Zea mays: one gene and its partners. The protein of the gene in region 3 binds, or shares a complex with, the protein of the main gene of each other region. Links are inferred from orthologs where the notes say so. Each region holds a gene or a part of one and is shown on either strand. Other genes may lie near its edges.

The links.
Region 1: Protein PLASTID TRANSCRIPTIONALLY ACTIVE 14-like (region 3) and Thioredoxin-like fold domain-containing protein MRL7 homolog, chloroplastic share a complex: the UniProt entries of both Arabidopsis thaliana proteins name them as parts of the transcriptionally active chromosome (TAC) complex. The link is inferred for Zea mays from reciprocal best matches to the Arabidopsis thaliana genes PTAC14 and MRL7.
Region 2: Protein PLASTID TRANSCRIPTIONALLY ACTIVE 14-like (region 3) and protein PLASTID TRANSCRIPTIONALLY ACTIVE 12, chloroplastic share a complex: the UniProt entries of both Arabidopsis thaliana proteins name them as parts of the transcriptionally active chromosome (TAC) complex. The link is inferred for Zea mays from reciprocal best matches to the Arabidopsis thaliana genes PTAC14 and PTAC12.

What each region holds. Positions count from the first base shown.
Region 1 is NC_050098.1:188,498,179-188,501,778, reverse strand, and holds the start of Thioredoxin-like fold domain-containing protein MRL7 homolog, chloroplastic, read left to right. Parts: upstream 1-987; 5' UTR 988-1,031; coding exon 1,032-1,717; intron 1,718-2,012; coding exon 2,013-2,097; intron 2,098-2,183; coding exon 2,184-2,295; intron 2,296-3,600. UniProt on the Arabidopsis thaliana protein: Plays an essential role in early steps of chloroplast development. Involved in the regulation of plastid gene expression. May positively regulate plastid-encoded RNA polymerase (PEP) activity through binding to FSD3 and CITRX/TRXZ.
Region 2 is NC_050098.1:198,690,692-198,694,291, reverse strand, and holds the start of protein PLASTID TRANSCRIPTIONALLY ACTIVE 12, chloroplastic, read left to right. Parts: upstream 1-1,202; 5' UTR 1,203-1,394; coding exon 1,395-1,431; intron 1,432-1,526; coding exon 1,527-1,594; intron 1,595-1,689; coding exon 1,690-2,355; intron 2,356-2,941; coding exon 2,942-3,054; intron 3,055-3,414; coding exon 3,415-3,600. UniProt on the Arabidopsis thaliana protein: Involved in plastid gene expression. Acidic transcriptional coactivator necessary for the transactivation of many PIFs target genes (class B genes), particularly during the regulation of hypocotyl growth.
Region 3 is NC_050103.1:78,052,992-78,056,945, reverse strand, and holds the start of Protein PLASTID TRANSCRIPTIONALLY ACTIVE 14-like, read right to left. Parts: upstream 2,353-3,954; 5' UTR 2,344-2,352; coding exon 2,101-2,343; intron 1,990-2,100; coding exon 1,852-1,989; intron 1,287-1,851; coding exon 1,161-1,286; intron 694-1,160; coding exon 565-693; intron 457-564; coding exon 367-456; intron 295-366; coding exon 144-294; intron 1-143. UniProt on the Arabidopsis thaliana protein: Essential for chloroplast development, especially for thylakoid formation. Involved in plastid gene expression, probably by maintaining plastid-encoded RNA polymerase (PEP) activity.

The DNA of each region.
Region 1 (3,600 bases), on a different chromosome or scaffold from region 3:
CCACTACCCGTGCTAGTGTTCCTTGCTTGGCTGATGTTGTTCCTTAGGGGCATTTACAGTGGTAGATTTCATAATTAAGAAAGAAATGAGATATTTATTGAAACAATCTCTCATAGTGAAGAGTTTCATTCAGCACGGTTTCATAGTTAACATGTAAAAGACAATATGTCTAGGTAATAATGTATACATGGTTTCATCTCCATGAAAATCATTTCATCTCTTTGTTTATTAATTGCTTGCCACATCATCTAAACTGCTGACATGGCACACCATTAATAAGAACGAAGCCCCTATGAAACTGACCATAGAAAATGGCATTAGCATCTAAGGTGCACAAAATAGTCTTTATGTCGTCTTAGGTAGCCCACAATGAGGGGTGCAACTTTCTTCTGTTAGACTGTATCTTTCCAAACTCATTTTGACAGTAAGTGTACATTCAGTGAATATGTGATACATTATTTCAAGGTTTCAGAAGCACAACTGATGGAAATAGTTATTTGGATAGCTCCATAGTTAATTGGTGTACTTTGTTGTTTATAAAACCAAAAATTACAATGTTCGAGAGGGTTAAGTTCCAATAGAATTTTTTGGGTTCCATCCTTATTAGAATAGGTAGGTTTGACGTCACGACTCTTCTCGTTTATTAGAGTTTGGGACGGTTGAGCAATATATGCGTAGTTCTTCACATTCGTCTAAATTTATAATGTTTTCTAGACTAAACTAACTATTGAAATATGACACATACACAATTATCATTTACTGATGTTATAGAGATAAGTTTCTCTCTTCTTTTGGTTTGAGAGATCCAAAGGGATTAAGATACTCCATTTGCTCTAATTTTGGCAGTTCCTCACACTCGTCATGCTTTCACGAATCATTCACGAGGCTGGAAGCGTCAGTGCCGTTGGATTTGAGAAGATCACGAGACCAACGGGCAACGGCGGACGAGAAACCGCCATTCGGATAGCACGGGCGCACCTGCCGACCGGCGAAACCCAGCCGCATACTCGCGCCCATTCTCGCCGCGCACGATGCTCCGTCTCCCCACCCTCACCGCCCTTAAACCCTCAACCCCCGCCATCAGCTTGAACCGTGTCGGCTGCAGCCATGGCCGCCGCCGCCGCAAGCTCATCTTTGTCTCATCCGCTCCTCCGCCGTCTTCTTCGTCTTCACGGCCTCCGAAGCCGACGTCGAACCCGGAACCACCAAAGCCCACACATGAGGCCCGCAACCGGAACCCGGATGGATCCACCGAGGCAGGGTTCCCCACAACCAAGCCCCGGAAGCCACGCCGTGGGCGCCGCAGCGAGTCGGCGGCCGTGGAGGACTTCGTCCGCAACCGCCTTGAGCAGGTCTTTGCCTCCATCCAGGAGCGCAACCCCGACGTCCTCGAGGGCAAAGGCGACATCCTGAAGCCGAAGGCCGATGTGGAGCGATTACCAGACGACGAGGGAGAGGGAGAAGGAGGAGAACAGAAGCCCGTGGTGGAAGAGGAGGACCCGAGCTGGCCGCTGGATGCCGATGTCGGATGGGGGATCCGGGCCTCAGAGTACTTCGACAAGCACTCGATCAGAAATGTCACAGTGGACGGGGTGGAGATCGATTGGGAAGGGGACGTCGACGAGGGGTGGGTCAAGGAAATCAATTGCTTGGAGTGGGAGAGCTTCGCATTCCACCCCAGCCCCTTAGTCGTCCTAGTCTTCGAGCGGTACAACAGGTAAGGACCATCCATTCCCTGTCTAGTTTTGATTTGTAAACTGTTGGCATTATGTTTGGAATGGGCTGTGTGTAACCCAATCACCATTTTAAGCTTTGCATTGTGTAATGCGGATGTCCGTAAAGTGTGAATCAAACGAAACTAGAAACTTCAGAACTGTCCTGGTACTGACAGATAAACGGCAAAACAGGCTTCAGTTTCTGGAATTGCTTTGTTTAGGGTGAAGTTTATTAGTTTATTTACAGGAGGCTTTGATTGTGTAGTATTGAACCCTGCATGATGTTGTGATTTGCAGGGCTGCTGACAATTGGAAGTTTCTTCAAGAATTGGAAAAGGCTGCTAAGGTGTACTGGAATGCTAAAGATCGCTTACCTCCTCGGGTAAGTTTGAATAGCATCTTTTGATTATTTGGCTGGGTTACTGGTCTTTGTGCAGGTCCTAAGTTTTGTTTTGTTTTGTTTAATAGACAGTCAAAGTTGATATAAATATTGAGAGGGATTTGGCATATGCACTTCAAGCAAGAGAATGTCCACAATTATTGTTCCTTAGGGGAAACAAGATCTTATATAGAGAAAAAGGTATGTCAAACTAACACCCCAACCTAGCCACCCCTATATGGTTCAAATTGTCCTTGTGAGAATTCTATAAAAAAAATAGTGAGGGTTACCTTTTTTCTTGCGGGAAATTAATTGAGAAACAAAATAGGTAAGTAGAGGTGAGACCTACTTATCATTGTGACATTTGAGAGGAAGAGGAAACTCCCATTAGAAGATTGGAGAGAAAAGGGGATCTATTAGTTGAGCCTCTCCACAATAGAGCAAAGGACGTATTTCCAGCTCAATTTATACGCCCATGCGGCCCATAAGATGAGCTCCTGACAGGATTCCCGTTGGAGTTCATCCTCCATTTTTCTCAATCTGAAGGTTTTGTTTCCATGCTAAAACGTCCATACAGTCAGTGGCGGACCCAGGGTCCAGCGACCCTAGGCGCCTGGCCAGACTTTGGTGCCAGCGCACAATTAGCTATTCATCGCAGCACCTTAATCGGAAGCTTTGAATCATTTGATCTGAGTGATGTCTTAAGTCTCGTCCGGGCTCTATTTCAGTTCTGGGTCCGCTACTGCATCCAATTCTGTTCCAGCCCCAGCTCAATGCACCAGCGACAGCACCCTGCAGTTCTGATCACGGGAAATTCCATTTTACTAAGGGCTAGTTTGGAAACCCTATTTTCCCATGGTATTTTCATTTTCCCAAGGGAAATTAGTTCATTTTCCTTTGGGAAAATAGAAATCCCTTGGGAAAATGGTGTTTCCAAACTAGCCCTAAAGGATTCCTATTTTCCCAAGGGAAAATGAACTAATTTCTCTTGGAAAAATAGAAATCCCTTAGGAAAATGTGGTTCCCAAACTAGCCCTTAAACGGAAAAACAGTAGAGGAAATTCCTACTGCTGTAAGCACACACAAGCACACATTGTTATGTATACACTCAATAGTCGTGTGTCAGTAGTATTCAGTATTTCGTGGTACTGACGCGTACTACTGGTTGGTACTGGATGTGGTTCATTCGTATTCAGTATTTCATGGTCAGTTTTAGCTACTAGGTGTAGAATAGCATTGCCAGTTTTATCTGAGAGAGGGAGGGAGGCTGTTACACAATTGAAGAAAAGAAAAGCACAATTACAGGAATCATAGGGCTGAAGCAACTACAGCCTACAAAAAGAGAGGAAATTCAAGGACAAAAGGACAATTCTGAAGGCCCTTCAATCCTGTGTAACTGCAGTGAAACTTTGGGCGTGTTTGGTTCTGGCTTCTAGGCCCAGGCAGGTTAAAAAAACTCAGCCGGCAAGGAAAGACCACCTCACGGTATTATATTAAGAAGCTTAA
Region 2 (3,600 bases), on a different chromosome or scaffold from region 3:
CACAATGAATTATGACATAATCAGGGTGTCAGTGGAATGCCATATATGGGTGAAGACTAAAATGCTACGAAAGGGTAACATTCCCCAGAAACGCCACAAATACAATTTGTTCACTTAATAAACATCTGCTTCAGTGGAATGAACATCACTGGGGAAATAGATTTGCTGTCATGGCTAATGTTAGGCTACGAGTTTGAAAACCTTGGTTCCATTGGCAAGTACGGGTGAACTGATAAATTGTAGGGGCCGTCTGCATCTCCTAGAAACATGACGCCCAAAGAAGGGTTCAAAGTGGTTCCGAATGCGCACGACTACTTAGTGTTGGTGTGTATTCCCATGTCGTGGTACAGACAAAGTTTGTTCCACCAGGGGGCTAAATCGGAGGATGAACAACGTAACAAGTTCACAGCTCAAACTACAAGTGTGGATCTGCTAAACTCATATGGGCTGGCCAAAATAAACTAGGATTTTTGAACAAAACCAGTGCTGATCTAAATATTTCCTGAATGAAGTATTCATTTGACGGGGTACAAGATGGTATACCTCAAGAAGGGAGGATCTCGCCCGCAAGACGGCGAATCGAAGCAAAATACGAGTGCTGTTCTAAATCAATCGTGAAATAAGTATTGATTTGACGAGGTTGAAGAAGGTAATACCTTAAGAAGGGGAGATCTCGGCCGCAACACGCCGAATCGAAGCGTCTCCGTGTGGATCTGATGGCGCCGTCGATGGTCGGAGACGGAAGCCAACGAATCGGTCGCGACGTACCTCGCCGGAAGCGGATTGGACTCCTCTTCGTCTTCGGTCGCGAACGGCACTGCGTGGTCACGAAGTCGAGGTCCTCTTCTGTGCAACCGAGGGGGGCCGGGGCCGACTCCACCGGCCGACGGGAGATCCGCCGCCGCGTCGCCGCGCTAAATCGCTCTTCCGCGGAGGGGTCGAGGCGAAGCGAGGTGGACCGAGAAGTTTCCGTAGTCTGGCGCGGCCGGCTCCGTCCGCGTGAAGGAGGCGAGGGGGCGGTTATAGTCATCCCCTGCATCTGGCATGAGAGAGAAGAGTGCGGCGAGGTAGGGGAGAGAGTGGCGCTCGCCGCTGCGGGAGGTAGGAGAGTACTGTAGCCACTATAGAATGAACAGTAATAGGGTAGGAGATGTGTAGAGTGAAGCGACAGTCTTATAGCCCGCTATTACACTTCTCTAAAGTCGAAAGACAACCTCCTTCCACGTGAGCGCTTTCTTCCTTCAGCCTTCTCGTTATCCTGAACGCGGCAATCTCCGAAGGTCCCATCCAAAACCTCGCCGCCGGATTCGCACCTCACTCTCGCCCGCGCACTACGAATTGACTGACGCCTACGCCCTACCGCTGCAAGCAGCACCATAGCGGGAGCCGCTACCATGGCGTCCTGCTACAACCCGTGGCGCCTATTCCCAGGTAACCTCCAGCTTGGACCCCATTTCATCGTTCGTTATTCCCTGCGCACAGTTCGTCTCGTCAGATATCACAGCCACTCTGTTGAAACTGTTCAGGCATGTCGACGGCGGTCCCTGCCGGGCCCGTCACGGCGCCGGCTCATTCTCGCACCTGCAAGTCCTCGGTAAGTGCCTAAACGCCTCGTACAGTTTATAACTTTGGTTCCTAGTTCCAGTTCGGTTTACGCGCCTGACTGGAGGTCGTTCGGTGCGTGCACAGAAAGTGTTCAGTGCTTTGCCTCACCGGAGGGGTCTGCTGTTCCTGGGCACGCGGCGTGCCAGGATCAAGTGCGTCAAGGACGACTCTCTCCATTTCGACCCGTCGAAGATAGAACCGCCACCGTACTCCAGCTACTTCGACTCCACATCCGGTCAGCTCGAGCCGGCGTCGGGCGCTCGGGCAAGCATACCCGGGAAGGAGTACTGGCCAGAGGGCACGGCGGCCCGCGTCCGTGCCGCGCGAGCGCCTGCTCCGGTTGGGGAGTCAGCTGGGATGCCATCATTTGGCACGAAGCCCGGGAGCAGGAGGAGAGGGTATAAGGAGCAGGTGACGTCGGCGTCAGGAACGGAGGGTGCACAGACTGATGACAGAAAGGATGGTGATGAACCTGATGTGGCTATTATAGGCTCTGGGGACGATGCATTGGAGGAGATAAAGGATTCGGTGGATGAGTATGTCATTTATGAGACACCAGAGGAAGAGGAGCTGAGTGAGTATGACATGGACAAAATGATGGGGCGGCCACACCCGTTCATTGATCCAGCAAAGGCAATGTCACTAGGGGAGCCGAAAACCAGTGAAGAGCTCTGGTGGCACTGGAGGAGGAAGTCTCAGGAGGAGGAAATGTGGTCAAGATGGCAGAGGAGGCGTCCAGATGTTGACACGGTTAGTTCCTCACTTGATTGAACCTAGCAAGTGGTAGGTAGTGATGTTTCCTTATATTGGGGCTGTTCACCAATTCCGGACATTGAAAGGTACTGCAACAAAAGGCCATAAATGTATGATTTTGAGTATTGCTATGGTACTCGCTAGTATTTCTATGCCTCATTTATAGTTCATATAGTATAAATGTTGCACGTACGGAACAATTTCCATGTGATCTTCCAGTGTCATTTTGTTTGTTTTATCCGTCCAAAAGTAGCTAGCCAAGTATATGGTATTTGTGTTGCTAATTACTGTCAAGTGTTAGCGACCATGGTGTCAATTATTTTATGGTTCTCCAGTTATTCTGTTTGTACTGTGAACGTGAGAAGAGTGTCAGTCTCACAGATGTAAAGGTGAGGTTTGTGCTTATGGGTTATGGCGTTGACGTCTGTGCATGTATATCGATGTGCAGGTTTGTCTGTTCATATCGCTTGATATGGTTGAGGCTTTGTGATTTTATTTTTTACGTTGACTGGTGTTTCAACTAACTTATATTCCGTGACGGCGATCCACATTATAAATTGTAATGTATGCTGTATCATTTTAGGTTTTTGCAAAGGCAATGGCGGAGACTGGGCAAATTAAAATTTTTGGGGACCATCCTTCACGGACAGAAGCTGCTCTTGCAAAGACAAGAAGACATTTGTACAAAGAGGAAAGGTTGACTTACATCCACAGAATACTAGAATTATTATACCATATATTTTTGCAGTACATCTTTACCGAATGATTTTATTGAATATCTGTGCACACATTGTTTCTACTAATTGCCTTACATCATTTGAGTTGGTAGTACCACCACTCGTGCATGGTCTCATCACATAATCTTTCGTAAACCTATTTAACTGCTCTTGGATTTACACCTTCTCCAAGTTATGCCACATATTACAAATATGTGGCGGTCTCATCATATATTCTTAAATACTGCATCAGAAAGATGTCGAGGATCAATTTTTTTAATTGACACAAGTTTATCTTGCCCATTTATACTCTTACATTTAATATACAATATAAAAACAGGTTAGAAGCAGAGCAAAGGAGACTAGAAGAAATAGGGCCAATAGCGTACTACTCAGAATGGGTTGAAGCTTATAAAAACAAGGATACATCACGTGAGGCCATACAGAAGCACTTTGAGGAAACTGGCGAAGATGAGAATGTTCAACTTATAAAAATGTTTCAACACCAAACTGCTGGGGAATATCG
Region 3 (3,954 bases):
GCATAGCTAACCATATTTTTGTGACTATTATTACAGGCTCATAACGCTAGCATCCTGTTGTTCACTTAGGTGCCTATGCATAACGCAACGGAGAGGGGGAGGGGGAGCAGCAATCACGAAAACCAAAAAAAGAAAAGAAGTACCAGCATAAGGAGCTAGCACATTTGCATCTTGGATGAAGGCTCCCATTCTCAACTTCAAGTTGACAGAACGAGACTGTACTATACTCAGTGCCCAGAGAAATCTCTCATGGTCACGTGCAAGGCGTTTCAGCTTTAGAGGAATTGGTTTGTCCTGGATATTACCCATCAAGCTAGTTAGAGGAGTTCAAGGAAGGTAAGCTAGTAACATAATGAAGAAGTATACCCAATGCTTTTGCCAAAAGTCAATTGCTCGTTCCTGGTGTTTTAACATTTGTGAAGCAAGATCTTCATCTTCTAGTTCCATTAGATCTTCCTAGAAAGGCAGGCATATGAATTCATTCAAACAGCAGAATCAAGTATAAGGAGGTTCCTAAGAAAAGGACACAGCAGAGGTATATACTTTCCGTTAGCTTTTTGATACCTTTGGTGCCAGCAGCAAACTAGTGCATTCATCAACACTTGGCAAAAAATCAGAATATAACTGCCAAAAGTTGTCTTCTATATCAAATGCATATAGAAGAAGACATGCTAATCTTAGATCCCAATCTGTCTGCAAGAGTAATACAAATTACATCAGCTTCCAGCATAGATCATTTATTGGCGCTTTAATATTTGTTGAAGAAAAGACAGATGATTGAGTTTTTGAAAGTGGTATCACTCCTCTCTAATGCAACTGTGAGCTTATGGGTCGATAACTTCAACCATATGGATGGAATGTGCACATAAATTGCTCTGCAGTCTCAAATTCTCAATTACACAGATCCTAGCTGTATGGAAACTCAAATGTACTATATGAACATTGAATGCTAAATTGCACCCATACAACTTCAACACAAGTCAATTAGATGGCTGTTATGTAATGAATCCTAAAATAAATATAGGAGAACCAACAACTGGTTAACAAAATGATTAGCGTGACAAAGCTATTAACTAATTCGCTGAACATTCAATAGAAACTAGTGACGGAATTTTAAGAGATCAGTTTTCTCTTTGCAACAAAAGATTTGATCCACCTACCTCTGGATCTGTTGACTCGATAACATCAAATATAGGATGGCCTAGTGGAATAATGTCAGGGAAAAACATCCAAGGTTTCTTTTGAGTTATAGTCAGCATCAGCTCCAACGGAATCTCCATAATCACCTGGAAAAGAAAGCAACATCAGCACATCTTTCAATAACATTGCTCATCATTGCGAACGAAAAGAACCAAATATGTTATACAAACAGTTTCAGCATGCCAAGAATATCATATAATTCTTTTGAACAAGACCATCGTACTACAGGTCTATAGCATGCATCAAGATGAAGAATTCAACACATGGGTCTGGCATTTCGTGAGCTTAATGCGACTGCGAGCAAACATGTGTTATAACTATAGATGCCATATTTTTTGGTGACAGCAAGTATGTAGCAAATAACAATTAGGCAATTAACATAAGCCATTGACTTCCAGTGGTAATGTATACTACCTACTAAATATAGTGTAAATATAATCTAACAGTTACTACACACGAACAACGTCCTTGACCAGTTATTCTCATGTGAGTTTCCCACCCAATCACAGATTCACAGGTGCTGCATCCAAACACTAACTGGTGTGGTGATGGACGTCCAGCTGCAATGAGACAGAGATTTAAACCTCAAATTGATCGGTAGCTAGTGGTTGGACTTGGACAAGAGGAGAATTGTTGAATGAAGTGTCTCACTCTAGCTCTGCGAAGTGGCTCCACGTCCCGGGAAGCGTAGACGCCCATCCCGTCGGGGCCTTCGAGGAACTCGATCCCATAGGCGCGCATCATCCGCGCATATCCTATCCGGTAGAAATCAGGGTCCGCGGGCTCCATCTACACACAATGCGATGACGTACGTAGACGATAACCGTCAATCGAGCGATTCTAAATTCGGCGGTGAGACCGGCGTCTGTAAGCGAGCGAGGAAAGCGTGAGGGTGAGGACCTCGGGCGGGAAGGGGTCGTCCTCCTGCGGCGGCTCGAGCAGCCTGAGCGGAGGCGTGTCGTCCCGCTCCGCCGCGACCTCCGCCACCGGGGGAGGAGCCGGCGCCGGCGCCTGCAGGCGCGGGCGGCCCGCGCGGAGGTGACGCGGTTGCCGCCGGACGAGGTGTCGCCAGGGTGTCCGGCGGGGGAATGAGTTAGGGAGAACGGAGGGGAAGAGGAGGGCGGGGGCGGTGGGGATGGCCATGGCAAGGACAGGGAGGGACGGTGAACTGGACTCGCCGAAGACGTTATCTGTTGAGTACTTGAGTGGCGGGCTGATTTTTTTGCATTTTGATCCTTCATCGGAAAAAAATTCACGTTTGGACCCTATAAAATTTTAATGTCATTTTTGGACCCTTTACTCGGCGCCGTAGCCTGTGGCGCCGAGGTAACACAGCTCGGCGCCATAGGCTATGGCGCCGAGGTACGTGCTGCGTTGGCACAAACGGACGTCGTGGCGCCCAACTTTTTTGCAAATTGGCCCTTTTCGGGTTTTTTCCCACAAATATGCCCCTGGCAGTTTCATTTCAAAAAATGGACCCTTAGCTCGGCGCCGTCATCATTGGCGCCGAGCTTCTGTGTGCCGGCGCCAATACTATTGGCGCTTATACATCAGACGTGGCGGTTGGCTGGCAGTGACGTGTCAGGGGGTCGGCGCCAAGATCTATGGCGCCGACCCCCGGGTCGGCGGCGCAACACGTGTCCGGGGGGTCGGCGCCATAGATCTTGGCGTCGACCCCCTGTATTCAACCTCTGTCAATCTTCTGTGCAAAAAAAATTGAACTCACGCCGCCCCCAAGACCCCGCGCCGGCGCTACTCCTTCCCCGGCCCGCGCTACTCCCCGGCGGCGCTCCACCACCGGCCGCCGCCGCCCCGCCCGCCCCCGGCCGGCGCCGCTCCTCCACCGGCCGGCGACGCCAAGCCCGTCCCCGCCCGGCGCCGCTCCTCCCCGGCCGGCGACCCCCCGCCCGCACCCGGCCGGCGCCGCTCCTCCCCGGCCGGCGACGCCCCGCCCACACCCGGCCTTGCGCCGCTCCTCCCCGGCCGGCGACGCCCCGCCACACACGCCCCCGCCCCTCAAGCGCCCCCGCCGCCCCGCCCGGCGCCGCTCCTCCCCCGACCGGCGCCGCCCGGACACGCCACGCCCGCCCCCCGGCAGCCCCGCCAGCCCTGACCGCGCCGCCGCCCCGACACGGCCGGACGCCTCCCACCGCCGCCGCACGGCCGTCGTCCCGTTCCGGGCGCGCTCCTCGGTCGCGCTCGCTCCTCGCCCGCGTCGTCGACGTTCATCCCCGACCGTTTAGGTAAATTTTATATGGTTTTTGTTTATTGTGTAAGCATTTTGTGTTAATTATGTTAAATTGTTTTGCTATAATTTGTGGTTTTTTGAATGTGATGAATGTTAGTTATTGTGATAAATGCTAATTTGATTGAATATTATGAATGTGAGTCAAATGTGCATGTTTTTTATCCTCCCCGTGCAGGGGAGGTGCTGTCAAAATTTGCAATTATTATATATGAGTATTTTATAATGTGATAAATGCTAATTTGATTGAATATTATGAATGTGAGTCAAATGTGCATGTTTTTTATCCTCCCCGTGCAGGGGAGGTGCTGTCAAAATTTGCAATTATTATATATGAGTATTTTATAATGTGGTTAGTATATTAGTGGGTGGTGGTTATATTTGTACTTATTTAGGTAGTAATTAGTGGTTTGTGGTTAGGTAATAACCATCCACAGTTTATATTGAATGTTTAATTGGTGTTTCAAATAGATGGACAATTTTTTGAGCTTGTATCATGGAGGCAATGC